4 linked regions of the Lepisosteus oculatus genome follow. The protein of the gene in region 1 purifies or fractionates together with the protein of each later gene. This does not show direct contact. Links are inferred from orthologs where the notes say so. Each region holds a gene or a part of one and is shown on either strand. Other genes may lie near its edges.

The links.
Region 2: the proteins of prostaglandin E synthase 3 (region 1) and fkbp4 purify together in Homo sapiens (affinity purification with mass spectrometry; 3 studies listed by BioGRID and IntAct, with this or other methods). This does not show direct contact. The link is inferred for Lepisosteus oculatus from reciprocal best matches to the Homo sapiens genes PTGES3 and FKBP4.
Region 3: the proteins of prostaglandin E synthase 3 (region 1) and smyd2a purify together in Homo sapiens (affinity purification with mass spectrometry; 3 studies listed by BioGRID and IntAct, with this or other methods). This does not show direct contact. The link is inferred for Lepisosteus oculatus from reciprocal best matches to the Homo sapiens genes PTGES3 and SMYD2.
Region 4: the proteins of prostaglandin E synthase 3 (region 1) and egln1a purify together in Homo sapiens (affinity purification with mass spectrometry; 5 studies listed by BioGRID and IntAct, with this or other methods). This does not show direct contact. The link is inferred for Lepisosteus oculatus from reciprocal best matches to the Homo sapiens genes PTGES3 and EGLN1.

Annotation. Positions count from the first base shown.
Region 1 is NC_090696.1:20,892,889-20,900,008, reverse strand, and holds the start of prostaglandin E synthase 3, read left to right. Parts: upstream 1-4,110; 5' UTR 4,111-4,335; coding exon 4,336-4,337; intron 4,338-7,120. UniProt on the Homo sapiens protein: Cytosolic prostaglandin synthase that catalyzes the oxidoreduction of prostaglandin endoperoxide H2 (PGH2) to prostaglandin E2 (PGE2).
Region 2 is NC_090702.1:11,471,019-11,478,431, reverse strand, and holds the start of fkbp4 (peptidyl-prolyl cis-trans isomerase FKBP4), read left to right. Parts: upstream 1-4,390; 5' UTR 4,391-4,729; coding exon 4,730-4,822; intron 4,823-7,413. Other genes in the region: ATP-dependent DNA helicase DDX11, read right to left, coding at 74-225, 918-1,004, 1,255-1,485, 2,406-2,534. UniProt on the Homo sapiens protein: Immunophilin protein with PPIase and co-chaperone activities. Component of steroid receptors heterocomplexes through interaction with heat-shock protein 90 (HSP90).
Region 3 is NC_090697.1:21,658,944-21,666,126, forward strand, and holds the start of smyd2a (N-lysine methyltransferase SMYD2-A), read right to left. Parts: upstream 3,006-7,183; 5' UTR 2,799-3,005; coding exon 2,623-2,798; intron 1-2,622. UniProt on the Homo sapiens protein: Protein-lysine N-methyltransferase that methylates both histones and non-histone proteins, including p53/TP53 and RB1. Specifically trimethylates histone H3 'Lys-4' (H3K4me3) in vivo. The activity requires interaction with HSP90alpha.
Region 4 is NC_090712.1:5,069,608-5,076,638, forward strand, and holds the start of egln1a (egl nine homolog 1), read right to left. Parts: upstream 3,003-7,031; 5' UTR 2,445-3,002; coding exon 1,689-2,444; intron 1,408-1,688; exon of another isoform or gene 1,384-1,407; intron 1-1,383. Other genes in the region: tsnax (translin-associated protein X), read left to right, coding at 4,424-4,439, 5,476-5,583, 5,968-6,082. UniProt on the Homo sapiens protein: Cellular oxygen sensor that catalyzes, under normoxic conditions, the post-translational formation of 4-hydroxyproline in hypoxia-inducible factor (HIF) alpha proteins.

The sequences.
Region 1 (7,120 bases):
CCGGAAGTAGGTTTTCTCCTTTCTTACAAGTTAAAAAGGTGGAATATAGAAACCATCTCTAGAAACATGAAATTTGTTTCCCAAAATCCAGTTTGCAGCCACTTTTTAGCCACAGATGCCTTCGAGAGACAAAGGTGGAGTGAAAAACAGCTGCCTGCCGTCTCCTCTGAAGGACGGAGCTCAAGGATGATCGCAAACTTGTTGGGGAGCTGGGAGGAGTCCCACAGCAGAGCGCAGGAGGCTTGAACTGCCTCTTGGTCGAATCCAAACCAGCCCCCTGCAGCTCCATGAGGTGGCCCCCCCGACGACACCACAATAAAAACCGCCGCATAAGTTAATTTGTGCTGCTGAAAGGAGCATGTGTGCTGCTTTCGTTGCCGAGATACAACGCCTTCTTTTCTACGGTGTGCGGTCATTCAGCCCCTACAACAGTGCAGGAGAGCTGAAACAATCCTTTTAGGGCCGCGTTTGTGCTGCTGAAAGTAACTTTCCTGCTGTTTTCATTCTGTGTAAGCACGCGACTGTCCACATAAGGAAGTGTACAGCTGGTAGCACTGTAATAGATCATGTAGTTTTAGGATATCAACACCTGCAGTTTGCTATCTCTCATTCTGTCTGGGGTGGGTGTATATTTCACGTTTGAATAACGGTAGTCTCTGAGCATTTGTGTGATGAGTAAGAGTTTAGGGAGAGATGTAATATTAAAATAAGTCTTGCCGTTTTATTCTTAAAATGAGAACGATTGTGTTTTCTTAAAGCTTTAGCTACGTATTTGAGGTTAGGAAGTGCAACTTACTGTATTAAAATGACCATCATTGTACTATTTTATAATGAGCAAACAATTAAACATGGAAACAGAGCAGGAAACTGCATTATACAGTATGTTTTGTTGAGAGCACTATGTACACGGTTGACCTTGGTAGTTCATAACCAATCTGCAAAACAAGGTTAGTATCATGGATACAGACTTCAGTAATGTTTGAAAATATTTTAACAAATTTTGAAGAGAATATCTCCCCAAGTTGCTCGCCAGCTTTTCTTTGGTTTCACCTCTGCAAAATCAAATGGCTCCCTAGTGACTTGAAGCTAAAGTTAATGTCCTGCTTGTTTGGTCAGTCTGCACTTCCTGTTGCATGACTTGGGTAACCATGTGTGGTTACCCTAGAGCTCGCCCGGCCACGCTGTGTTCTTCAAGGGGTGACACCCAGGCACTGATGGCTGCAATCCAGCTCCAGGGATCAGCCAGAGCGTCATGGCTTCACTGTGCCCTACACCAGCTACTCACAGGGTAGCCTTCCATCTTCAGTGTTTCAGCAGCCCTGAACATCACACCCACACAACTCTTGTTGGCCACACCCATTTATCCAGCCACGCCTCCATCCAAAGACTAATACTCCTGTTCTGAGCCAGTGACCTGCTCAGCCATAGGTGCCACACCTGGAAAACTGCACATTGTTTTCAATAAAAGGGTAGTTACTCTGTCATTCCCTGTAATAGGTGAATCTAAAGAATCGGCTATTGCTTTCTCCTCTGCTCAAAGTGCAGCAGCAGCATAAATAGCCTCATCCTTGCTGTTGCTGCCTGGATGTTATCACACCTCCGCCTTGCCAAGCAAGTTCTCAGAGTCTTGGCTTCAGACGGGAAAGCTCAAGCCCCGGTGCTGTCAGGCAGGGGAAGCTGAATAGGCCATTACTGGAGCAGAGTCTTCAGGTTCCAAGCTGCCAGCCTGCACTGCTTTCACAAATATCATGAGTGTGAATGTGGATGGCATGGTGGCACCGTGGGTAGCAATACTGCCTTACTGCGCAGCGCGCAGCGGCCCTGAGTTCGGCTTTGGACCGGGGGTGCTGTCTGTCTGGTCTGGTTTCCTCCCACAGTCCGAGTACAGGCTGGTGGGTTCATTAGCGTCTGTGAAAACTGACCCGGCTGTGAGTGTGTGAATGTGTCTGTGTGCCCTGTGATGGACTGGTGTCCCATCCAGGGTGTATCCCACCTCGTGCCTGTTGCTTGCCGGGATGAGCTCCGTCTCTGCCGTGAGGAAAGCGGAAGATTGATAGATGGATGAACGTGCTTCCTCGGAAGTGCAAAATCAGAGAGGGGATCTTTTTACTTGGATGCAGTTTTGAAGAATGTCGGGTGAGCACCGGCCGTCGGGAAACCTCTTGCAAATGACATTGCAGGAGTCTGCTCTCCTGCGGTTCTGGGTTTTCTGTTGGGCAGACACAGGCGAAAGGCTCTCCACTGTGCCATCCATCTCCAAATCCTTCGTTTTTAAATAAGGCTCAAGATTCGAATTTCATTTGCCCTATACAACAAGTGTAGTGGAATGCTTACTCGTTCAGCTGCACCCAGTAACAATAGAGAGAAAAAAAATATCCGCACAAATGACAAACAGACATGGACAATAAATTTTGACAATAGACATTATAATACAGCCAAGACAGGACATAGTGCAAACAGTGCAGTGCCTTAAAGTGAAGGTGCTAATGTGTGCAGGTGCTAATTTGAGCTGTTTAAGATGTGTCCTATTTAAAATATGCATACGTGTATAAAATGCATGGCGTTTCAATTTTAGAATATTTAAAATATGCATATAAACTTAGTTACTTATGAATCAGGCTTAGAAAATCACAATTGCATTTTTGTTTGAAAATCATGTTTTAAGAACCTGGCAGAAGACAGTGCGAGTCTCACGGCCTAGACTGATACAAGAAGGTGAGTAATTGATGTTGTCCTGGTGTCCGGGTCAAATTTCCCCCCTCGGCCCTTACCGTGGCCTCCAAATTTTCCCCATGTACGATTGGCTTGCACTTGCCCTGCGATGGACTGCGATGGACTGCCGTCCTGTCCAGGGCGTACCCTGCCTTGCGCTCGTTGCTTGCCGGGTAGGCTCCGGCTTCCCGCGACACCGTTTGGTATAAAGCGGGTTGGCAAACGACATGACTAAATCCTACAGACGTTTCCACAGGTAGTCCACTAGGCGGCGATGTTGACCTGTTTTTCCGGACTACAGAATCGCCGTGTAGCCGTTGGCGTGATTGATTATATGATCGCTCTTCCTTTCTACGAGGTAGAACAATTTGACCTCATTTGACAGTTTTTGGAAACTGATCACCGTTGAAAAGAAAATCTCTTTCGACCGCTGTATGTTCTAGGCTAATATGAGTCTACAGAAGTGGGTTACGAAAACAAACATATAGATTATTTTACATCAAAAAGGATGTTGCTGCTTTTGAACTCGTTTTGAGACGTAAGGAAATGCGCCGCATCGACAGCGCAAATATTTTACAGATATACAAATATGTTGAACAGAGAAGTCACCAGGGGGACCTGCTTCAAGCATTCAAACTCTTTAAAGGCTCTGACAGAGTCAACCCAGCGACCTTCCTCAGAATCAACAGTGCAACTCAAACCAGAGGACACAAGTCCTGCTAAAACCGAGAGCAGAAGGCTCGTCTCTGTGCGAAGAGTGGTGGGAGCGTGGAGCAAGCTAAGCAGCCATGTTGCTGAAGCCAATTCCCTGGCTTCTTCCAAGACAGGACTGGGTGAGAATCCCAGATTAATTGCATGCTAATAACCAAACGGTAAACGTTCTTTATGGTCAAATATTAAAATATATATTAAAACCGACCTTTTTTCTAGGGACTGTGTATGATTGCCCTGTAGTTTATAGTGTATGCTATTGTTTTTTTTTCTTTTACCCTTTATTGTATTTTAATTAGTTTTTTTCATCACTATATACAGCGCCCTTTGGTTTGGAAAGGCTCTTTATTTAAACAGTTATTATTATTATTATTATTATTATTATTATTATTATTATTATTATTATTATTATTATACGCTTTATAGTCTTTGGTAAGTTAAAAACTACAGTTCCCAGAAAACCCAGCTCTAAACAACAGTCGCCATGGTAATACAAATTAAAACGAGATATTTGGTATGAGATATTCACCATCTCTTAATTGAGTAACACGTTTTGGATGCGAATCGGAACCAAACTGGCGATCCCAGGACAGGGAATGTTTTAGATGAACTTTGCCCTCTCCGTTTCCATGGTGCCCAGGCGGCCAGGGGCGGGAGACCGCACGAGACGAGATGGGCCGGTGGAAGCTCTAGAAACGTCTAGGCGCGCGGCTGCTGCGTCATTGCGCGAGAACGAGGAGGAGAGACACGCGAGGAGAAGGGAGATCAGCTCGGAGCTTCGGCGGGTTTTTATTTTTAATCGCTCGTTTTTTTACTTCGTTCAGAGTAAATACACCTTTCTGTCAGATAACGAGAAACAAACAGCAGAGCAGCACTCCGGAGAGTAGGAAACATCTGAATAAGATAACCAAGATGTAAGTCGATGGGGGTTGGAATGGACTGAGGGGAGAAAGGGGCGAATCACTTACGGCGGTTTTTATTTTTTTAATTCTTTTCAGGGGTGCCTAGAAAAATTTGGACCAGAGTAAGGTTCCCTGTTCCACACACACACACTCACGTTACCCAGTCGTCTCTCAGGGGCAGCGGGCAAGGCAGAGAGCAGGCGAGCGCGGTATAGGCCGCGCTTCACGTTGAGCGCCGGGGTGTCTCTCGGGCGCTTGAAAACGTAGCTTTTGAAAAGGTGCGACTGGTCGTGTGCCCGCCTGCAACCTATTTAGGGGGCGTGGAGGTTGTGTGAAAGGGTATTTTGGAGAAATACTGGGCTCATTTGTTCGATATTGTCCGGATCTGTAGCAGGTAGCGGGAGGCTCGACCTCCGCGCTGTAGGAGCATGTCTGCTCGCTGGGGAGAAAGGAGAGGGGGGAATACAGACACGCTCAGCGGGACGGGATGCAAACGGAGGTGGTCGCTAACAGCTTCTTTTGGAGGACGTATTCTGCATTTATTTAATTATGCTTGTGGCTTGATGGCTCGGGGGCCGTGCATTTCCTATCAAATTAAGGTTTTTCTTGCGCTGGGGTAGCAACGCAACGAACTGCACCCGCCCCTCGTGTGGCTGGGGGTGAGATACTTTTAGGTCAGCTCCGATGTTGGGGTAATCGCGCTGTAATCGCCCCAGATCATCAGGGTAGATCTTTCTGGGGGGGTATATGCCTCCCAAGTCCCGCAACGTGCCGTGGTGTTTTTACACGAAAGTGAAAGTGCCGCGATGCACGCCGGGGATAATGAATGAGAAGATGTCTGCCTGCCGAGCGGGGTTTTGTGTGCCGATATTTATTTTCCGTTGCGATTTCATAGAATGAAATCTCTGCTAGTCTCATTGTTTGCGTCTGTGTGCTCTGAATATTTGGTTGTATTTACATTAAACGTACTTGTTCGATTGTGTAGTAATTTACCAGTTGCGCCTGAATGGCTTAAAAAAAATAAAGATAAAACAGGACGGTTTCGACCTTGAGAACCGCTAAAAAATAGCCTGGCGTGAACATGGTTGTGCTGATGGAGTACCCAGCAGCTGGGACTGAAGTCTTCGGGCTGCACAGTCAGTTCATGGCCACCGCCTGACAAATGCGTCTCGCTTGTTGATGGCGGCCCGGTCCGGCCCGGTCCACGTCGTCTGCCTTGGGGGGAGGGGGGGGGGGTCACATGACGAGCCGGGGTGTGCGCTGCCCGGCCCCTTTGAACCCGAGCTCAGGGGTAATAGCAGGTAAATATGAGCTGTGGGTGAGGTGAGCGTCCGTCGCCTGTAACTACAGAACTACAGCTTGCCATGATGACCTGCTGTTGCTCCTGTGCTGCAGCCCATCCGTGACACAGCTCTTCTCCCAGCTCACTCGAGGCCGCACCAGCCCTCCACGGGGGCGTCGTCCAGACATGGGCACGGTGGGCTGGCCGCTATCAAAAGTCAGGAAAACTTTTAAGTGGCATAGGAGACGTCCAAGCAGGGAGCTGCGGCAGCAGGCATAGGCTGCAAAGGAACAGGTAAAGGTTTATTACAGGCTGAGAGGAGAAGGAAAGATACGCGGTGGTTCCCGGCTGAGCACCCGAAGAAGGCTCCACAGCTGAAACGTTGTCTCTTTTCTTTTCCTTTCAGCATAGAATAAACTTTACCTGTTCCTTGAAGTAGTGTAGTGTTTTTGCTGGTATTCAATACTTTGATTGTAAGTTCACTTGAGCAGGTAGTGGGTGAGTGCGTTTGCCTGACTGTGGAAGTTGGTAGGCTGTTTTTAGGCTACCTGTTGTTGGGTTAAGAAGGTGCGATGTCCTGCAGTGAACTCCCCGGGGAAAGAGCGGAGCTCCTTCCCGGAGGAGAGGAGTCCTTGGAAACGTTGGAAGAGGTGGTTCCGGTGTGCTGTCGAAAGTCTTGCAGAGCTTGAAGAAGTGTGGCCACATAGTAATGAGCACGGAAGGGGGTCGAGGAGAAGTGAACTGGGTGGAGTTCTGGTGTTTTATCCAGCCGTGTGTTTTCAGCCTGCACTGGATTTGCACATCTGGGCTGTGGCTTCTTGAAAGCTTTTCTGTCGGATTAACTTTACATTGAGCTCTAATTTTGAAAGCCCTGGTTCCTGGTTCACAATTGAATATCACTCACGCACTCTGATCTTGCAAAGGTAAACCTATCTGCCTTCAGAGCATCCATTTTCTAACTGCTTTGTCCAATTCAGGGAGCTGGATCCTGTTCTGGCAAGTAATGGGCACAAGGCAGAGTACTGCCTAGATGGGATACCAATCCGTCACACACACTCACACCAGGGTCAGTTTTCCCAGAAGCCAATTAACCTACCACACAGGGAGCACCCTAGTTTCAGAAGTGAACGCATGCCCCCAGGGTTGTGAGGTTGTGAGGCAGGAGTGCAAACCACCGTGCTGCCCCATTACAGAGCGGTTTGAGCCATTTCAGTTTTCACTTGCTGTAAGGTGGTTGTGCGTAAGCTGGGATCTGGAACAGCACATCGACTTGAAACCCTGCTTTGCAAATGTTTTGCTTACACATGGTGTGTGAAGTCATTTTCTTTTATAACCTCTGCTGTTGTGTTCAAGCCCACCAGCTGCTAGAGTGTAAGCAGTGTTGTCTTCTCCCGTTGCTTTATGCCACTCGTGGATGAGTGCAAACCACTAATTACGTGGCCTCCTGCCTGTCAGAATGAACTCCTCAATCCTCTGCCCCACACACGCATCCACACACGTGGTTGGCCATAAT
Region 2 (7,413 bases), on another chromosome or scaffold:
TTTAAAGAATCCCGGTTCTTGGGCAGTTAAAGGACCCTGATCTAATCCCACAGCCCTTCTCACCCCAACCCACCTTCTCTTCGGCACTGCATTATCATCGTCGCTCTCATAGACGGCCACAATCACCTCTTCTTCCCCTTCTTCAAGGACGTCACCACCCTCCGCAGTCAAGGCCTCCTTACTGAGCTTCAGCAGGCGAACTGCCTCTTCATCCTCACTGTCTTGCTAACACCCATGAAGGTTAACATTCATTAGAGGAAATGTGACTCCAAATCTGTACAAAGGGCTACACATTGATTCCAGATCTGTCCAAAGGGCTACACATTGATTCCAGATCTGTACAAAGGGCTACACACGTGCTACACTTTACTGTTGCAAAACAGGACTTGCACTCAAACATGCCATACAAAAACAAGATTAAATTTGTATTACTCACATTTAACAGCAGCAATGCTGCTCAATATCATTAACTCAAAACATTGGATAAAGTGTAATTACAGTAGATATTTATCAACAGGACATTTTGCTAAGATGATTTAAGACATTAAAACGAAGAAGAAACAAGGATAATAATATTTTACCTCCAGCATTAACTGAAACCCAGAAAAACACACATTTTTAATTCAAGTGACTTTAATGGACAATGGTTCTCCTAATCCATCTATGACCAACACGTTAACTAACTCAGTGCCTCCCTCTGTGTAACACACCCTCCCCTTACTCAAGCAACACCAAAATAGGTTTTGCTTAAACAGCTCTGAGCTAAAATGACAATTATATTAGTTATTAAACAAAACACACAGAAAATATTTTCTAAAGATATGCTTCATTAACTGGCACAGAGAAATGAGCAATAAGCGTAGTCTTTTGTCTAAAGACCACTCCTGAGGAGCTGGCAAACCCAGCGACAGTCATACCTTGCGTTTCATTGTGTATTTGAGCTTAGCGTTACGTCGCATCAACTCCAAACGTTCTTCCCTTCTCTTCCTCTTCAACTCATCCTCCTAGACAGAGAAAAGAAAATCAGGATATCTCCTCATGTAGTTTCTTATGTAAAGTGAAAACAGATGTCAAAGGAAGCTTTGATGCTTCAGTCAGTCAGTCCCATTGGTATTTTGGCACTGCTAACAGACGCAAACATGCCTTGTGGAACTGATTATATTTTTTACTGAAAAGTTCCTGATCTCATTATTCCCTAGAGAGTTCCCAATCTTAATCCCTTTAAACTGTTTCTTCAAACTTTTTTATTAATACCTTTAATTTGCTGACCAGATCTCTCTCCGCCTTCTTCTGCACGAAGTCTGTGATCCAGTTGGGCTCTGCAGAGTCTGAGCTCTCCTGGCTCTGGGAAGCCTGTTGGCTCCCTGCAGAGCTGTCTGTAGCAAGGTCCCCAGACTCTAGCAGGCGAGCTGTCTCCTGCCTCTTTCTCTCCTCGTAGTCCCTCAACCAGGTGAGGGCACCACAGATCAGACTGAGAGACTTCCCCTGGAACACAGAACAAGTGGGTCGGAAGCTTGCTCAGCTTCAAAAAGATTGAGGGTGTAGCTTATTCAGCTAGCAGCTCACCGTGCAACTCACAACTGGCAATCTGCTGAAGATTAGCCTGGCCAGTAACTGGATGGGAGACCTCCTGGGAAAGGACGAATTGTAAAACCAGGGTCCTGACTCTGCGTGGTCATTAAAAATCCTAGGGCCCAGGGCGTTTCTCAGAAAGAGTAGGAGTGTTACCCCGGTGTCCTGGCTAAATTTCCTCCTGGCCTTTACCAATCATGGCCTCCTAATAATGAATTTGTGAAATAGTGCCGCTCATTCTTAGTTATACAGTAAATGCACTTCCTCTTTATTTCCACTTGTGTCCTTTGGTTTGGGTTTCACTGTTTATTGTGAAAAGCCCACTTGGGTTTACTTCATCAATGCATTTTAATTAGCAGAATTCCCCTCTTTCAGGAACAGTATATACCCCTTTTTTAACCTAGATACTTCAAACCATATTATCCAAGTGAGAGTCCACAGGCAGCCTATTTAGCAAAATGTCTTTATGTTGAATATGTGATATTAAAGATTATATATTTAATTTAGCTGACATTTATTAAGCATGACCCATGTATATAAAGGGAATAATGGAATAACCAAAATCTATGTTTTATGCAGAATATATCATATATTGACAGTCCTTGAAAAAATCCCAAAAAAGATTCATAATGAGAGACCTCTGAATTCACACACTGGAAAGCTTACTCTGTCTCAACATTAGGACCTAACAGCAATTCAGGAGCTGACAACATTGTGTATCAGGCTCACTTTACTGGAGACAAATAATGACTGTGTGAACATGTCAGCAATATATAGTTATTATTCTTTGAGCTGGACAGGGGTAAACCATGGAAATAAGACAATTAACTCACTGTTCCAGTAGGGCTCTCAAAAATGCCAACCTTTCCTTCATCTAATGCAGTGTACAAAGCCTCCATGAACTGCTTCTGGATGGAGTATGGTTGGTATGGAAATGGGAACTGTATAGGTCCATCTGCCATCTTGAAGCAGACTATGTTAAGAAAGAGAAGTAGCACAGAAAAGAAGCACAGAAAAAACACATAAATCATACTTTATTCTGTCCTCATCCCCATACATGGAAGCAAAGGGCTTACACATTTTGAGTACAAGTGTACAGAGTACCCCATACTGCTCTAGTAGAACTGCACACAATGACACAGACTCCCACGAGGTGGTCCACTAAGTAGAGGAGTCTGTCTAGGATTGTACAAATGTTATTGGGGTTCTTGTCTCATGACTGTCAAGATTTACACAGGAACTGTGTACTAGGCCACCACTTCCAGAGTAATCAGCACTGTTGGATAATTACCCCCGGCACAGAAACAAGTTCCTCCTGGAGAGCTTTCTTGTATTTTCTGTCAAAGGTTAAACATCCTCCACTGAACACGATAACCAGCCGATGCCCAAAACCCAACTCACACCACCATAGACTTTAATGTGTTCTATAGATGGTCTAAGAATTCAGTCCTACCACATTGCAACAGTATAGTGAAACCTAAGACAACAAAGTTTTCCAGGAAACGTTTGAAAAAAAATGTCTCTGTGCTTCCAGTTTTCCTAAACAAATGCAGCCTCAATGTTATCATAAAATTTTAAACATGGCTATAATTATAAAAAACTAAAGATCCATAGTGATTACTCCGTAGAAAACTATAACAAAACTCGCAAGCATAATCTAAATAAGATGAGAACAGTCATCAAATGAATGGATGCCTTAAAGTTCGGTCTAATTCTGAACCGGATCAATGACCAGCCAATCACCGCTCGTGTGACGTCAAGATCGTCCAATCACTGACTGCAGGTCAGACATCAATGGCAAGATATTACGTTTAAACAAGCAACTTCTAAAATTAAACCCATTGTTTAACATTGATTTAACGAGAAATGATTAGTTCCCTGTTTGTCTTCCGTTTGTCTTCTATGGGTAAGCAAACTCAATTATCAAATATATAAACATGCATAAAATCCACCGCGAAGATTGACCAATTCAGCACACAGCAATACACGGACATAAATATACTCAGCTACTTGTAAACGTAAGGAATAATCTGTTGAAATATTCACCGAGTAGTGTGCAGTACGATAGCCGCTGTTCTTGCTGGAGGGCTCACGCTGTTGCAAAGAGCGCGCCAAGTGCTGGGGTAAAATCAGCCAATCACAGACACCCCCGCGATGAACGGAAGGGCTCAGATTACAGCCGGGTTAGGCAAAAAAGTGTTAGTCATTACCCCCAACAATTAAACATATCAATGATTTATTCAAAGCATTCATTGGAATCGTTTTCTCATCTCACAATTCATATGAATAATGCTCTGTGTTGTTACACATACAAAAAATGTATGTGTAATATAGATCGATATATCGTTTTCCTTCTTTTCCAAACTGAACCATTTAAGAGAAAAGGGAGTGTCTACAAAGTTTTAGATCAGGTAAATGAATTAAGTCCTTTAAAAACATACCTACTAACTGTTTGGATTAATGTTTCGTTTACTTTCAGTGCAACAGCCGTTGCAAATTTGTAAACTTGATGATATTTTCAGAACAGGAACACGATTTACTTCCATTTCTTTTCCTAAAACTCATCCATTAATTGTCAGCCCGGTGAAACAATCCTCGCTACTGAAATAAACATGCGTTTAACCGTTTAAACATTTAAACATGATGTATATTCATATTCCCCGCAGCACGTTAAAACCATGAGAAAAGTTTCTGAATTTGCCTAAGCTGCTAATGCACAAGAAGGTTTGCGTTTTTTTCGCGTGTGGAGATATTGGAAGCGACCCCTGGCGCAGGCTACAGTTCAGCCCGGCGCGGCTCTGGAAAGTTCTGTGCCCGTCCTCCTTCGGGGAGCTTGATAGACGGCGCTCGACTGGCAGCCCTGCAGTACGAAGCACACCGCGCGTAGTTCGCAGACGCCTCTGATGCGGACTTTTCGGAACACTGAGATTGCTCTCTGATAAGAGATTTTAAGTCGGCTGCGATTTAAATATATAGTTTATATTTTGTAACAATAAGCTATTGCTTTTGTGTGGATCGATTCCGACACAGGAACAAGCGGCAGGTTTATATCGCAGGTGTTTAAAATTGATTAAAGAGAAAGGGGGTCTGGCGATATCTCCATTCTAGCTACTGAGATCTGAGATTCGGTTAGAATTGCCGTTACAGGTCAGGCGAAATGACTGCAGAAGAAGTAAACGCCGAAGGACAGCAAACGACCCAGATGGAGGGGGAAGACATTACCCCGAAAAAAGATGGAGGAGTTTTAAAGGTAAATAATCTGAATGTATAAAGTGCACGTAGTAGTAGGAAGAGTGATTAATAGCTATTACATAGCTGACTCGTTTTTAATAACGTCTTAATAAATGCGCTTAGTCACCCTGCTGCTAGAAACTCGGTTTTCTGTGAACATGTAAGCCTTTGATTTCCCATAACGTTTTGCATAACTCTATGGTTTTATCTTCATTTGCTCTGCAGTTGGCCCGGTGATTTTTACGTATTTATCCAGACCTTAATAATCGATTCCTAAATACCAAATTGATTACCATAATACTTGGTAAAAAAAAATGAATGGGTATGTGGCTAGTTTGTATGTAAAGGGACGGATTTTTACTCTGACTTTGCAACGTTGAGGAGCTATAAAACCACTCGTAAATACTGCATTAATATTATTAAATAATATCTCGGGGGTCGCAAGGGCAAGTGAAAATTTAGAATGTCCTTATATTCCATGCCTCTACGTTGAGTTGATATTTAGAAATGTTCTGCAACTTTTCTCAGTGCAACCAAATCAGAATTTACTTTCTCAGCAACTACAGGTATTAAGACTTAAACGTCGGAAAGCGAGTAAATGTCACCAACTTTCAAACTGCAGAAAGTACACTGCCCTGGACTTTTCGCACTGAAAAAGTATTTGCGCAGTCACCTTCTTAAATCGTTCTGCAGTCGAATTGTAGCATCTTACTATGTGTTCCACCAATGCCTTCCCCGTTTTTAGACGAATTTAGTTTCATTGGCTTTGAAATTTGAGAATTAATGACTTCCTGCCCTCTTTGTTGCTCTACCGCCTGCGTGTCTGGGCGCACCGCGAGTGTGGTGTTGGTGCGGCTGGAAGCTCCGAGGGTTTTCTAGAACACTGGAACCCCCACGTGCAGGATCTGTCCACGCCGAGAGCAAGATCGCTTCCGTGTCAGTGTTCAGAACTAAGTTCACAATGTCGTGTGTTGACAGGCTTCCTATTGACCAATAGGAATATTGTAATATAATAGTAGTAAACGTCCGCATACCAAATAAATCTAGAATTTCAATCCATTTCAGTTTCTGGACTGTTGGCTGTGAAGTTAATTGACACCTCAACCTGCCAAACCTGAATTCCATATGACAGATCCGTTACAGCGCTTTGAGAAGCCACCTTTAAAGGCGCTATATAAAATAAAGTTTATTATTATTATTTTAATTTTAAGAAGGTGATAAAAGACCTCTTCCTTATTAAAGCGTTGTCTTAATCTATTACCCAGAATTGGAAGATTAATCTTAAAATCCACCTGTTTAACTGGTAATCCACCAGCTACATTTTTGAAAGAAGGTAGATACCTTTTTAAAGATGATAAGTGGAATCAGTCAAACCAGACAGGAAACAGTTTGTGCATCTGTTGAAGATTTTAAACATACTACATTAAAATTCTATACAACATTGAAAACACATGATTAGTTTGAAACTTAACAAAGCATTAAATGGAGAATTAGGCCTAGTGGTTATCTATTAAGTTAATCATGAACATTTATGCTATTTTGTTAATCTTGGACAGTTTGAACTATTGTTTTTCAATGCTTACATATAGTTTTACTTACTGTCAGATTATCCCTAATGTACATGATTGGATGTTTTCATTATCTTTCAATGTGAAAATTAGCATAAACATAATAAGAGAACAAATGTGTTGGAATTGCTTAAGTTTTATTAACATTTGCCATATATGAGCAGTATTATTTATTTGTATTCGTTTTGATTCTTAGGTGATGATAATGAGATGACTGTACAACACAGCATAGCATGTCCCTTTGTGTTTATTTTGTTTAAAATTACCCATTACAGCTCTGTGTACAGCGTTGTGATCACCGTGGTCACTCCTAGACCAGAGTTCTGGGCAACCTTTGAGGCTACCAGGTCTCATATTGTGAAATAAGGTTATTGCAGTTGCACTTGTCTTTCCACCAGCCTCAGGAGAGTGGCTGACCCTTTAGCATAGTGCATGTTTCACACTTTGTCTGCTTCTCAGAGGAGCCCAAAATGGTGATCCCATGTAAGATCTGTCCACATGGTAGTAGGTGTCATAATACATAATAATAATAATAATAATCATTGCTTACACTTACATAGCGCTTTTCTGGACACTCCACTCAAAGCGCTTTACAGGTAATAGGGACTCCCCTCCACCACCACCAATGTGCAGCATCCACCTGGCCATAGTGCGCCAGAACACTCACCACACATCAGCTATTAGTGGGGAGGAGAGCAGAGTAATGAAGCCAATTCATAGATGGGGATTATTAGGAGGCCATGATGTAAGGGCCAATGGGAAATTTGGCCAGGACGCCGGGGTTACACCCCTACTCTTTTCAAGAAACACCCTGGGATTTTTAATGACCACAGAGAGTCAGGACCTCCGATTTACGTCTCATCCGAAGGACGGCACCTGTTTACAGTATATTGTCCCTGTCACTGAACTGGGGCATTAGGACCCACATGGAGCGCAGGGTGAGCGCCCCCTGCTGGCCCCACTAACACCTCTTCCAGCAGCAACCTTAGTTTTTCCCAGGAGGTCTCCCATCCAGGTACTGACCAGGCTCACACCTGCTGAG
Region 3 (7,183 bases), on another chromosome or scaffold:
ATCCAATTCATACAGTACATAGAGATCAGTAGGAGATCACGATTGGTAAATTTTCAAGGGGGAAATTTACCAGGACACTGGTACATTCTTTTAAAGAAATGCCCTGGGATTTTTAATGATCAAGAATGAACCTCAGTTTTACATCTCTCATTGCATCAGGAAGAGAGAATGCCTCTTAGAGACTATGTTTTGACAGCATAGAGTGAAGAAGTTGGGAAACGACAACAAAGTCAAGGGGGACTTTACTGAAAAGTAACAAAAACATTTTGGTGAAAACCATTTTAAGTATCTTAGTACCTTGTTCTAGATAAGAACTCAACTGGCCCACTCTTTGTAGTAATCATAGATTAAAAAAACTGTTTAATGTGCATGAATACTGTTACAGCTATAGGCGACTAGGAAGAGTCTCTAAGAGTTTAGATAAAGTTATTATCATCTAGCAGTGTAAACATCTCTAGCTTCAAAACAGATGTAAGGGGTTCCCTGATCAAAACCAAATGGAAAGTTTACCTTGGGTTACCTAGTTAATTAAGCTGTGGGTAAATTATTGACAATGAGCAGTCCAGAAACACACCAGATGAGATCACATCAAAACACAGAAGAGAGGAAAAGGAAGAGGGAGAAAGTTAGACCTCAAGAGAGGAGGCAGAAGGAGATGGAAATTGAAGCTTGCACTGGGCGAGAGCCCCTACTTCATGATCATCCAAACTAAACCTGAGTGGAGATAAGTATTTGAAGCTTGCTAGAGAGAGCTTGCTGTTCTGTGTTTTTAGGGAACTTGGGTTTCCTGGGAATAAGCTAAACATCTTTCCTGCTTGTGGGGACATTTTTAGAATAGGGAAATAGGCTCCCATTTATTTTGTGGCATCGGGGTTTGAAAAGTGAGACATTTAACTGGAGGTTGCATTATATTTATTAAAAGGGAGTTTACTGCACTTCTTATTGTGGCTTCTGTGGGCATTATTTAAGAGTTCAAAGCTTAGTAGCTGTCAGGTTTTCTGGGTGGTTAGGATGTTAGGCCTCTAAAACACCTCATTTGTACATATTGTAAATATAGCACCTTGTGCGTTGTATATTGTGTTGTGTGCAGCGTAGTGTTTGCCTTGTCATTTGTTAATAAACATTTGTACCTGGATCATTACTCTTTTCACTGAAGCTGTACCAGAGAATTCACATGCCTTTAATTATACCAACCGCTCAGGTATATTCTGGAGAAATCACTTACAAGTTGAGGGTTATGAATAATTATTTTACTAACTGACTGAAGAGCTCAGTCAATTCCTGAAATTCACAATTATTGTAACCCCTCATTTGCAACAATACACTTTCAGTCTCAAAGAAAAGTAGTTTTCTTAAATTCAAGTTATGCTTTTCTCAGTCCCTTTACAAATCATTCAGATGGACAACCGCCCCAACAGACAGTGGAAGGACAGACTGATGTAACCCATAGCCATGCCCAGAAGGCCACACATATCCATATTTCTATACAACAGTTACCTTTCATGAAAGATAAAGAATTGTGGAGTATAAGGTACTAAAACACACCTATTTCAGCCTTTTTTTATATCAGGACTTTTAAAATATTTTTTTACAGAGCACTCGAAAATGTGCCTTTTAAGATTTCCACAGTCAATGCTATATTAAAGACAAAAGAAGAATCTGTTTATGCTTTCCAAAATACCTCCCGAAAACGATAAGCTATTAAGATGCAACCAGCAAATAAAACAACCCATAAACCTCCCGTTAAAGCCTGCATAAAACCTGGCAATAAAATGCGAGATGCGTCACCATTTAATATCCGCCAACTTCTGTTTGACAGATTTTAAGGCTCATCCAACGTGCCATAGGAAAGCAAGTGCCAGCGTTGTCCAGTGGTTTGCTGGACATAAATCTGATCGACTAACTTTTGAGTTAGCAACAGATGTTACTGCTCTACCGCAAGAAATGCAAAAACTTCACACGAGTATGAAACGAATTAGAAAATAATAATTGCTGAAATGAACTGATAAATTCCAGAAACTGAAAATAATTAAGCTGTTTTTTTAGATAATTAATATGGCTGTTGCACATCTAAATGAAAGAATGTTTTATTGGAAAAGGACAAGATTAAATTAATAATTTGTAGTATCTTAACTGTAAGGTACTACCGTACGTGCATTATCCAAAATGGTCCGCGCATTCCCCAGGACTAAGGGCACTGCACATTTTCCTTCGTTGTTATTGTAAAAGTCATCGATACCTACAGACCCCCTAACACGTTATCCTTAATACTTCTTTAATTCTAATATGGTGATTTTCTGAAAGTTGTGAAGTCAACACACGAATACTAAAAACAGTTCAAACTGGAACTTGAGTAGTAAAATAACGACCTCAGCAAAGTAGTGTTTAATTATATAGTTTTATTTTTTAATTATTTGTATTAAGTGCACTGAATTTCATGACGTTCTGTTGCTACGGTCCCCATTCATACTCGTAATCAGCTACTGAAAGTCCATTACGACCAACAGGAAGCCTTTCTCTCGAACTACTGCGATGACTTCCTTCCAGCAAGCAGTCTTTCTCAGCACTCCGCCGCAGTAATGTTAAATTAATTGCTAATTGAAAGTTATGTCAGTGACGTACCTTGCAAAGCAGAATTCACAGTGGTTGCCTCTCTCGTTGACTGTCAATACGTAAGTATACGCCGGGCACGTAAAAAGAAGATCTCCAACTTTAAACTGTTTCAAAGCCCTCAGTCCCCTGCCTTTGCCAGGACTGATAAACCTTTCGATTCCTTCTGGCGTGCCCTCTGTCTTCATTTTCTTGACGTGGTTATTTCCTAATCGTGTCTTGCCTTGCTTTTTCTGATAATTTTGGAAGCACTCCCAGTCAATGTTCTATTCGATCCCTTACTACAAGAAAGATCAGGTTTTGCCTGGGTGAATTAAAACCTTTGCTATTAATGGAGCAGCGTCACTCTCACCCAGAACTACATAAATGGTAGCAGCAGATGGCTTACACAGCTACAGCATTGCTGCAGGATTCCGTGGGGTCTTAAGGACCTAAGGTTCAGGGTAATACACTGACGTATTACGTGATCTCCAGACCTCAGGGTTAAGAAGCCACGCTGCTGTGTGTTAGACATACTGTATACAGTACAACAGGATAACATTCTGAGTGATAATTCTTACGTTTATGTGTTTGGTATATTTGCTAGACAATAAATTAACTATATTATACAGTAACACCTGCTGTTTAAGTGTGTCTGTATTTGTTCAAAGTTATTACCACCATTACCCTTTGTTCAGGGAATGTTTATACAGTAGCTGTGTGCTTCTGTTCGTACACCATATGAACATGTGAACGGACATCATCAATTTCAACTGACAAGAAAAAAAAATGTTTATTCTGTTACTCAGCAAAAAAAAGAGCACTGGTAAGGATAGGACCTGCAGCTACACACTACTTGAAAAAATAAAATCTTATATTGCAGCAGTGACATACAGCAGCTACTGTAGCATACTGTAGCTCAATAACGCTATAACTGCAGCACAGCACTTGCAAAGCCATTCCACTACTGTCTGTAACACTGTTTTATAAACTGCAGCATCCTGCCCCCAATACTTCCTGCCATAGAAGCAGCATGTCAAGAAGTAGAATACTTTATTAAAAACATTATTTCTGTATTGCAGCATAAACCAGGTTGTTAAAGACTCCAGTTTTGCTAAACCTTGTGAGATAAGAAGGATAAGAGCAGACTTTCGTAAACCTCTTCTGAAGAGAAGACTTCAGTGCTCTATAATTAGGTGTACCCTACTGCTAATGAGCAGGACAAATATCAATAGAAGGGATTTGGGGATATTTATCATTAGATTTTTTTTCTTTCTAGGAGAACTTTACTAAATACTTTTGGAAAGGGAAAGGAAGGAAATTATATATTTTGTTTTCATGTATCCCTCACGGTGTTTAAATTTATAAATGACTGGATTGCAGTTTTAGGAATGCCTTATTTTGCTGAATAAAATTGACTTGTTTCATTCAGCCCCAGGGTCCCTCGTAACCTAGTGTCTCATGTGTCCACTGAATGAAAGTAGAATACACCTTTAATTCAAGAAAACACGAAACACATCTCCCACAGTATATTTGTCTCAATGTGCAAGTCTCTGACAGCCATGCAGGTGTCCCATTATTGCATGTAGCAATTAAAGATTGAAAAGTGAGTCACCTTATTTGAATACCACAGATGCAACAAGCTGCCTATTAGAACATGTATTAATTGCCTCCTTCAGAATATTTAAGTTTAATTACCTTTTTTAGCTGGTATACCTAATCATTCATAATCATTTTCTATTTATTGTTTTAACTGTGGACATGAAAGAGGGTGTGAATAATTATTGTGTGCTTATGTAAAACATCATTGAATGAGTAAATGAAACTATTATGGTTGTGAATACGAGTTCAATTGTAGCACTTGAACTTCTGTGAATATTACTACAAATGACTGTTAATGGCCCTTCAGCACAACCACTAGACATCCCATGGATAAACTAAATAACTTTACTCTATGAAGACCTATGCTATACAAATACTGTACATGTATTTTTGGAAATGGATACTGTATAAATCTAAATATTTAAATAACATTTCTCAAATAACTATTCTACTGCAGTAACAAATCAAACAAAACCGAAAAAGGCTTTAAATGTATTATACAAATTAAAGTACAGTAACATAAAAAAGGTTTAAAATGAAAGGAGGGCATTCAAACCATGTTATCTATTAGGTAGTTTGCACTAAATGATCCAAAAATGTAATCCAGCTGTTTATTGGAAGAAGCTAGAATACAGAATCTCTTTAAGAGCTTGGCTGCATAGCTTGTTACGGTCTCCCACACCCCATTACATAAAGAAGTGCCTCCTATTCTCATTTTTAAATGCACTTTCACACGCTCCATGGTATGTCCCTTTATGCATGTTCCATTCTGAGATAAGCAATTATAGGTAAATATAACAATTGAGATCACAGAAACATGGTTAACTGAAACCGATGATGCCGAAAGTAACATTAGTGGATACACACTGTTCCAGAGTGCAGGAAAGACAGAAGTCCAGTGCTATACTTTATATTAAAATGAGTATTCAGGTTTAGGAACTTAATGTAAGCAAGATCTTGAGTTTCTGAAATTAAGTAAGTCAGACTGTTCAAAAGTCATTCTAAAGGTATAACGTTAGGTGTGTGCTATAGACTCCCTGATGCACATGTTGATTATAATTCAGCAATGAATTAATTCAGAATTCATTTTAGCAATGAAGTAAAGAATTTATGTAAAAAAAAAGAACTGTTTTTATTAGAGACTCCAAATTTTTCAACAAAGACAAGGAGAAACCAATTGGAATGTCAGACCAATACCAGATATTTTGTTGTTGTTGTAATGTGTGGTGACCAAAATAAGGCACAACATTCTAATATTTATTTTAACATAAAATACTTTGATTTGAATGGTACACTTTTAGCTATATAAAATCATGTTTGCATTGTTTTTTTATTTCTACCCATATATATGGAGGTGGTGTGGAGTACTGGGTAAACCTTTGGACTGATTATTGGCAGGTAATGGGTTCACATGCTCACTTTCATCCAGCTGTTTATTGAAAAAGAAACGAGAGCATCTCTTCAACACCATGCTGTAGCTTGTTTCAGACTCCCACAATCTGTTGCTTACGGATGTGCCTCCTTTTCTTCTTTTTAAATGCACTTCTACACACAGTAGTTTCCATTTGTGCCCTCTGGTTTGTGTTTAACTCTTCATTCTAAAGAGATCTGCTGGGTTAACTTTGTAGCAATACAGTATATTTTCTAAAACATGATGAACAATAAGGTATAGAGGTATACTTTACTAAAAAATGTGGCCTTACAAGTGTGTGATAGATAGATAATACTTTATTAAACTTTTTTTTTAAATTTTATTAAATTGATGTGTTACAGCAGTCCAACCCAAGACAAGCAAAAACAGACATCAGAATAGTTATAAAACAAAAGACAACAAAATAAATAAATAAAAAATAAATACATAGGTGTGTGCAAAATGTGATGATCATAGTCACTGTAAAAACAATTCAATATGTGCAAAATGTGCATAGGTTTATACAGACTGATTGTCCAAAAAGTACAATGGCACAAACATGCTGTCCATAGACGAGCAAATAAAGGGCTAACAGTCCTAGCCTAGGCAGTGTTATAGACCCTGACAGCTGCCGGGAGGAAAGACCTGCGGAAACATTCCCTTGAACACCGTAAAAGTGCTCCGCTGCCCAGTAACAGTCCCATGAAGCGGATGAGAGGTGTTGTTCATGATGGCTGTGAGCTTGGTCAGAATTCTCCTCTCAGCTACCACCTCCATGGGGTCAAGGCTCATCCCCAACACAGAGCCAGCTTTCTTGATAAATTTATTGAGCCTATTTGCATCTTTTGTCATGAAGCTGCTGCCCCAGCACACAACAGCGTAGAAGATGGCCACCGCCACCACTGATTCATAAAATATGTGTAGCAGTGTTCCACACACACCAAAGGACCTGAGGCTTCTAAGAAAAGTTGGAGAGTTGGCTCTAACCTTTCTTGTACAGGGTGTCAGTGTTACCAGACCACTCCAGCTTATCATCCAGGTGTCCTCATCCTGGATGGAAACAGGGTTCAGCGGAGGCAGGGTTCTGCTATACCATATTTTGATTCAAAGTCTATACTTTTAACCGCATATCCAAGCATTTAGTTTGTCTTTTTAGTTGATCTCCCACGTTGTGTAGAAGGTGTAAATGTCATGTCATCATAAACGTCTAAATCATTTTCAGAAGCAGCCTCTTCTAGCTCCCATTTTGTCATTACTACTTGCATGCAATACTCTGTACTTACAAAATCTGCATTATATGTCATCTACGAGGCACTTTTAAATCTGTTTGAAATTAATTTGCTGATTTTACAGGGTTTAACAATCTTTCTAATTTGGTGCACATTTGATTCACTAATTATTCTTGAATCCAGATCATTGATATTAATTAGAAAGAGCAGAGATCCTAGCTCAGATTCTTGCGGTACTACACTAAGTACAGTACTACATCTCTCCAATTTGAGCATTCACTCTTATCAATGCTCTCTGCGTTAATGAATCTGTAAAATATGTTTTATTGACGAGTTTAGCCATTCAAATAAC
Region 4 (7,031 bases), on another chromosome or scaffold:
TTACAGTTCTAACATCTGTGCTCGCATTTGTCCTTCGTTTTCTTCAACGATAACATTTTCCTCAGTTTCTTTTCCCAGCTCCTGTTACAAAGTCACTGCGGTCATTCGTCTTTACTGTCTGTCCCTATGGTAACTACGTAACACTGCTCAACTTATTTTAATGATCATTTTGCATCACCTGAGCATTTCTCAGTAACAGGTTTATTCCATGCTGAAAAGAGAAGAAAGAAAACACATGTCAAACTGACTTATACAAAACAGCACTTTTTTGCTATGCTGTTCTGTATAAATTCAATAAAGCCTTTGCTGTAAAAAAAGACACAAATATGCATTCTAACAAATGCATAAAGTTTCAGCAAATGTGGACAGGTTAAAGCTTTCTCGTCTTAATCCAAGGGGTCTGTGTTTTGAAGTGCTCGACTACTCCATTTGTACTTCATATACTATTTTAATGCACTTTTTAAAAACAAAATAGCTCGATTCTCTTAAGGGCTTTTTCCTTGTTCTCATCACAAACGTGCTCAAAAAAATAAAAAGGGATTAACATTATCACTGCAGTGAAATCAGCCTATATAGAATTCAGACGACTAATTTAGTGAGCCACGTTTTTTTTTTAATCCTAAAATGTTCTTTAACCTCTCTTTTATTTTCTCCGTTATTTGAATACAGAAATGCTCTTTTCTGGACTTCGGAACATCTGTCACTTCCAGGCTCAATCTTCTTCGGTCACATGGAATTACATCCGTCAGTCACTTTCTAAATCACGTGTGCGTAAAACTCTCCCTGATGCTTTTCATTCCCAAACACGTACAACGTGCTATAATGATTTACACCGGTATCGAACGATCGCCGAAAAATAAACGTTTGTCATCTCAATAAGAATTCTGGAAAGGATACAGCTCAGAACGGGTTCTTAATTGAGCTGGTATTGCGTATTTCATTAGACAATTAGGCACTGCGCTGATAGACTCAGCCTGGGTCCGTGTCTACAAAGTTATTAGCGGACTAAGGCCTCGCTTTCCTTCGTCAAAGTGAAGAGCATTTCGCCCAAGGATCGCTGGTCAGTAGTCCATCATGATTTCATTTTAACGCTGACACACACAATGCCTGCATCGCTGTCGAATGGAAACAGCTACATTTTTCCCCACTCCAGGAAAAAAACACAAACACAACTTTCCCTTTTAACCCCTGTAACTGTCCATCGCAGAAAACACGTCAAAAGGGGTCACGGACTATATTCCAGCTGCTTGCCACTGCGTCTGACGGAAACGAATGGTGCAGAGGTGTCGGACAAGAGCAAACACCAAGGAACTCGACTACTTACGAGCTGGAAAAGCACCCGGTATTGTTAATGGATCTTGGAATAAACTCGTCTGTTTTCCCCGTCACCTGCTGCTTCAGGTCAAAGTAAGTGTTGTCCCCCCCACCAAGACTCGGTGCTAAACGTGTCATCTCACGCATTTTACAGACACGCGTGAAACAAAACTCTCGAAAGACAACAATCATCCTGGCGCCTCGTTCCTCACACGTGGAGGTGTTTACCCGGCGGTTCCCCGACGACAGCTGGCGGGCCAGTTTTTCACCTGCTCAGGGGAGAGGAGAGGAGAGGGGAGGGGAGGGGGTGTGGAGGGTTATGTGCACCTGCGCGCCGGGGGGGTTACACCGTCCGCACCTGGGGCGCTACTTACTTTCGTCCTCCCGTTTATTTGGTAGTTTCCCAGTTTACCATTACAGTGTCTGACCAGATCGTCCATGCGGCTCATGAGAAAGGCTATCTTCTCACAGCCGGGCTCCTTCCCCTCGATCCACGCGATTTTGTCGCCCCGGATGTCCCTGGAGGAGTCGCTCCGCTGGCTGACCAGCTGGCCGTCCGTGAACTTGCCGGTCTGGTGGAGGGCTCTGACGTCCTCCAGGATGCGCAGTCCAACCTCTTCCCCGAGGAAATTGTCCACCACACAGATGCCGTGCTTGTTCATGCAGGGCACGATGTACTCCATGGCCAGCTTCTGAGGCTGGGCTTTCGTCTGACCGTTGGGCTTAATGTTATTGTGAATCCCGTCCCCGGCTTGCTTGTTGTTGGCGATGCCACCCGGCTCGTCCGCGCAGTTGATATGATCCGTCGTCCCTTCCCTCTCCGGAGGCCCCGTGTCCGCCGGGCTCTGGGAAGCCGGCGTGTCCGGCCCGGGGCGGGCCTTCTGCGGCGGCTGTGCTCCTTTCCCGTCTCGGACCGCCCGGTTCTTCTCCGGCTGCGACGGGCTCGGCGCTTTCCCCGCCTCCTTGCACACCAGCTTGTGCTTCTTCCAGTCCTGCTTCTGGTGTTCCCTGCTGCAGTAGAAGGAGGATCGGCAGCGCCCGCACTTGAGCAGGTTCTCCATCTTCCCGCAGAGCTCGCAGTACTGCCGGTCCCGCTCCAGGTCCGACAGCGTGCCCTCCTCGCTCGCCATGGCTGCGAAGTTCAGCGGCGGCTACTGGCCCTTTAAATCCAGCGCTGCCCCTCGCCCCGGCGGCGCAGTACAAGTTTGGAAGGGATCCGCCGCCGCAAACAAGCCCAAAGGAAAACCTGCTCCCTCCGCTTCGGCGCGACGCACTTTCATCACCCACGCTGCGTTACCCTCTGCGGGTTACTGGAGGGCGAACACCGGACAGTGCAGACGGCACATGGCGCACTCCCTCTGCACTCCGAAATGCCCCTGGTCTCAGAGCGCCAGTCTCCCAGAGACACATGGCGCCGCGCTCTTTCTCCGCTCCTCACGTCGTCCCTAACCAACCCCAACCCCTGACGTCAACGAGGGAAGGGCAGGGCCCGCCTAGAGCCATTCACAAGAACCCCAGCAGTGGAGTGCGGCCGGGGAGGCGTGCGTGTCTGTGTGCAGTCCGCGGCGTTGTCAAGTCGCCCAGACAAATCGGGTGCCCAGCCCGTAGGCGGTTTCGGAACCGTGACACCTGCGGCCGCTCCGACGCGCTTCGGAACGCGTTCGCCTCTGTGCCTCAGAATTCCAGACACAGCGACGTCACAATGCCGAGGGGGGGGAAACAACTAAATCTGTTCTGGGTTTCCTCAGAACTGAAGCCTTGAAATTAGGGGCTCGTCCCTGGAGCGCCACCCAGCCGCTGCTGTCAGAACTGCCGAGCGCTTATTTTAAGACGTAGTTTTTTCTGTGGAGATCTGGCATTTACGACACGCGACGCGCAGCGCGCGTTTCCCTATTCTTCGAAATACTCTGCCATTGCATGTATTCTTCGTGACCCATCAGAAATCCGGGATTTGCCGATTTTGCCATCTTCTACAGCAATTATTGATCAGGCAGTGCTTACAAAGAAGAAATAACGCATTTAAACACACACCCTGAAGGTGTTACGTTTGCGGGAAGTATCTGTGTTTTGTGTGATCTAACGGTGCCAAGAGCATCTTGGGACCCTTGAAAGATGTTTTTTCTGAGTGTCCCAGAAAAATCCCGTTGTTTTTATTAATGCAAATGATAGGCCAGCTGTTGAGCTTTTTTGTGGACTCCAGGGATACTGCTGTTCAAAGCAACGTGTTTTAAGCGCCACCCTCTCTTGGCACAATAGTTCGGAACCCTCATATCTCACTTTTGATATTATAATGCACCCCGTATTTGGACTTGGGTTTTGTTTGTGGGTTGCAAGTTTCCTCACTGCGTGTGCTTAACCCGATTAGGCAAAATCAGCCTTGTTTCCCTAAAACCAGACGAGATTTCTTTTTTTTTTCGGTCTGAATATAGTAAAGGCATTGTATGATCAAAGGTACCGCATAATCAGTTATAACAGAAGCATAATTCCCTGCATTTGTCACACCTTCATCCCATATACTTGTAGGATCCATAACAATAATCTACTTTTTTTCCTGTCATTAATTATTATGTGCTCACGTGTAAGAATTGCATTAACTTTTTGAGTGTTTTTTTAAATGAAATACCGGTCTTGTACAGTACGTATACACTGTACACACCACGTTAGAGAGCCGCTATATCTTAAAAATACATTTCCCAAAATGCAATTTTCCAGTATGACGTATTTTTAAATTGAAAAGATCGGCTCCCGGCCTGAAAAGCAAAGCTCATGCCACTATTAAAATAAGTACGTCTTAGTCACAGTTCGGTCAGAAAACAACATCGACGTTCTTTTTAATTTCTATTCGATTATTGTGAATAAAACTAAACTTCTAAATATTTTATTTACCTACATGATTTTCTTTCTTTTCTGTTTTAATTTAACAGGCAGTTGTAAGGCAGCTACAGCATATCCAGTGTTCTAGGAGCGAAACATGGTTGTTTAGGAAAGCGTGGTTTGATGTAAACACATCCTTGGGCACAGCGAATTGGCGATTGTTAATTTCTGCAATTAAAGTCAATCAGAGTTTAAATAACAAAGAACATTTTGGTAAAAACTATTTTAGTTCGCGATGAGTAGAAAAGAAGGTTAGTGTTCAGTGATTTGTTTTGTAGGTAGTAACGGAATTCACGACATATTGCTTGAAAGCCGGAGTTTTCTGTCGTAGGAAATTTTTGTTTTTTAATATTCATTAATTTATATTTGTTGTTTTTTTCAAACGAGGTGCTTGCGTGTGGACAGTTCTGACATTAATTGGATTAAAAGCAGCAGTGATGATGTCTGCTCACACGCTGTCGGTTGTAGTGTGGGCTGAACGGCTAATTGCCAAAATTGTCCTTTCGAGCTAATCCTCCTTTCAAAAATACATTGGGTGTTGTTAATTTGGTTAAGAGGGAGGGGATAAGATAATCAGCTGTGGTTGATTTAAAAAGCTCAGGAATGGCATCTGTCAGCTAATTAATCGCAGTCACAAAGAGGAAGGAAAATAGAGACTCAATTTCTGAAAGTAAAATTCATTGAAAATGCGCGTTTAACTGGGTAATCTCAGATCACACAGCTAACAACATTCAGAGCTAACCAAAGACTTGAACGGGGTTAGTCCGCTAAGGCGAGCAGGAGTACACCGCTGTTGTGAAAACACATCTGTTCGCATTGTTAACGGTATTTGTTTTACACGTGAGCCTTTTCTGATGGTATTGGGGAACAGTCCCTTTGAAATGCGGCTACATCCCCGTATTTCCTTTGAAATTCAAATGCTTTTATTGCCCCGCGAATAGGTCCTTATTTACAAGTTGTTTGACGCTTCGTTAAAGTCGTCTTCTAAATAAGTAATGATAATAGTTCGTTTGTGATCTCAGAAGCCACATTCCTTTAAATTGTATGAACATCCTTAACAGTGAAGAATAGATCTTACCCAATCATTCCTCTGTAGCTGCGCTTTGATCTTATTTTATAAACTGACAGACAGGACGTTGATATGAGTACAGAAGTTTGAAACGGAACCTTTTTACAGGGCAATAGCAGTTATTTCATTGTCTATTTGCTGTTTGAGGTTTAAGACCATATAACATACCGTTTGAGTGGTAACATGCCTGTGTGTGTTTATGGGTTTTGGTTTCAAAGGTGATGGAAGTTTTCGGAAACGGAGACAAGATTACACTCCGACCCACAAAATGGAAGATCAGGACGATGGTACTAACACAACTTCAGCTGTGATGGCAGCATTTAAATGTAAGGAAATACGTTTTTTTTCATGCTAGAGCAATAGAGAAATAGAAGCAACAAATGAGCAGACTGATTGCTGGTAAGTCTCTGCATTATACTTAAGAGCTAGTTCTTTTGTAGTACCCTGACAGAACAGTTGAAATTGGTGTCAAGGTAATAATTATAATAATAATTACTTACACTTATACGGTGCTTTTCTGGACACTCCACTCAAAGCGCTTTACAGGTAATGGGGTCTCCCCTCCACCACCACCAGTGTGCAGCCCCACCTGGATGATGCGACGGCAGCCATAGTGCGCCAGAATGCCCACCACACACCTGCTATCAGTGGGGAGGAGAGCAGAGTAATGAAGCCAATTCACAGGAAGTGCTTTCCCCCTCTTTTTATAGCATTTCAGCTGGAGCTGGACACCAAGCATGACAAATACGAAAGGCTGGTGAAACTGAGTCGCGATATTACCATCGAAAGCAAGAGGACTATTTTTCTCCTTCACAGAGTAACCAGGTAAGGTGTGACGTTTTGCTGAATGCAGGGCTTGGGCTATCAGAATCTGTTTCATCCTGGACGCTACTGGAATCTGCTGGTGGATTTAAGTGCAAGCATGACCATAAAACAGTGACAGCGGTCTTCAGTGCGTTAGCCCCAGGAATAACTTATCATGAGTGAGTGGAGGGCTTGTTTTTTCCAAGGTGGTGGTGAGGTTTGGATGTGGTGCCTTCTTGCTATGAACAGACCTGTGTGTATTGTGTATATTAACCAATAGCTGCATTGAATGGTACTCGGTGTAGTCAATGGGACTCATTGTAGATAGTAAAATGCTGATTTGGTGTTTTTAATGTAAGATTAAAGAATAATAATACCCTGGAGATACATTATAAGAAACCCCTTTTTGATGTAGTTCAAGGAGGTAGCTACTTGAGTCAGCATGTGTAGGCTGCAAAGGAACAAGTAAAGGTTTATTCCACGCTGAAAAGAGAAGAAAAGAAACAAAATGTTTCGGCTGTGGAGCCTTCTTCGGGTGTGTGATGCTTTTTGATGGTTTGCTCGCCATATATAGGTGCTCTGTGTAGGCTTTTAGTGTATTTTTTTAGGGGTTGCCACATTCCAGGACTGTAAAGTACTTTTTTAGAAAAGAGCGGATACCGTTAACAGGCCCCTTTGCTTGAAAAGAAGCAGTTAACATGTTCATGGTTCGTGCTTTCTGCAGCTTGAGGAATAAGCAGTGTTTAAACTGGGGGACCAGTTGGTTGCCTGGCGGGACAGGTTGTGCTGCCTGTTGCTCTGGGCTGAGGCCGATCGTCAATCCAGCAGGCCCGGCCAGCCGTGTAGAAAACAGGGAGCCCCAACAGCCCTGAGGGCGGAGGAGCCCACTGTCAGCCCAGGTTGTAGGTGTTCCCAGGTGCCGGCTGTGTTACGTGAACCCCTTTAATGCCTGGTCTCCCTCTGGCCGCAG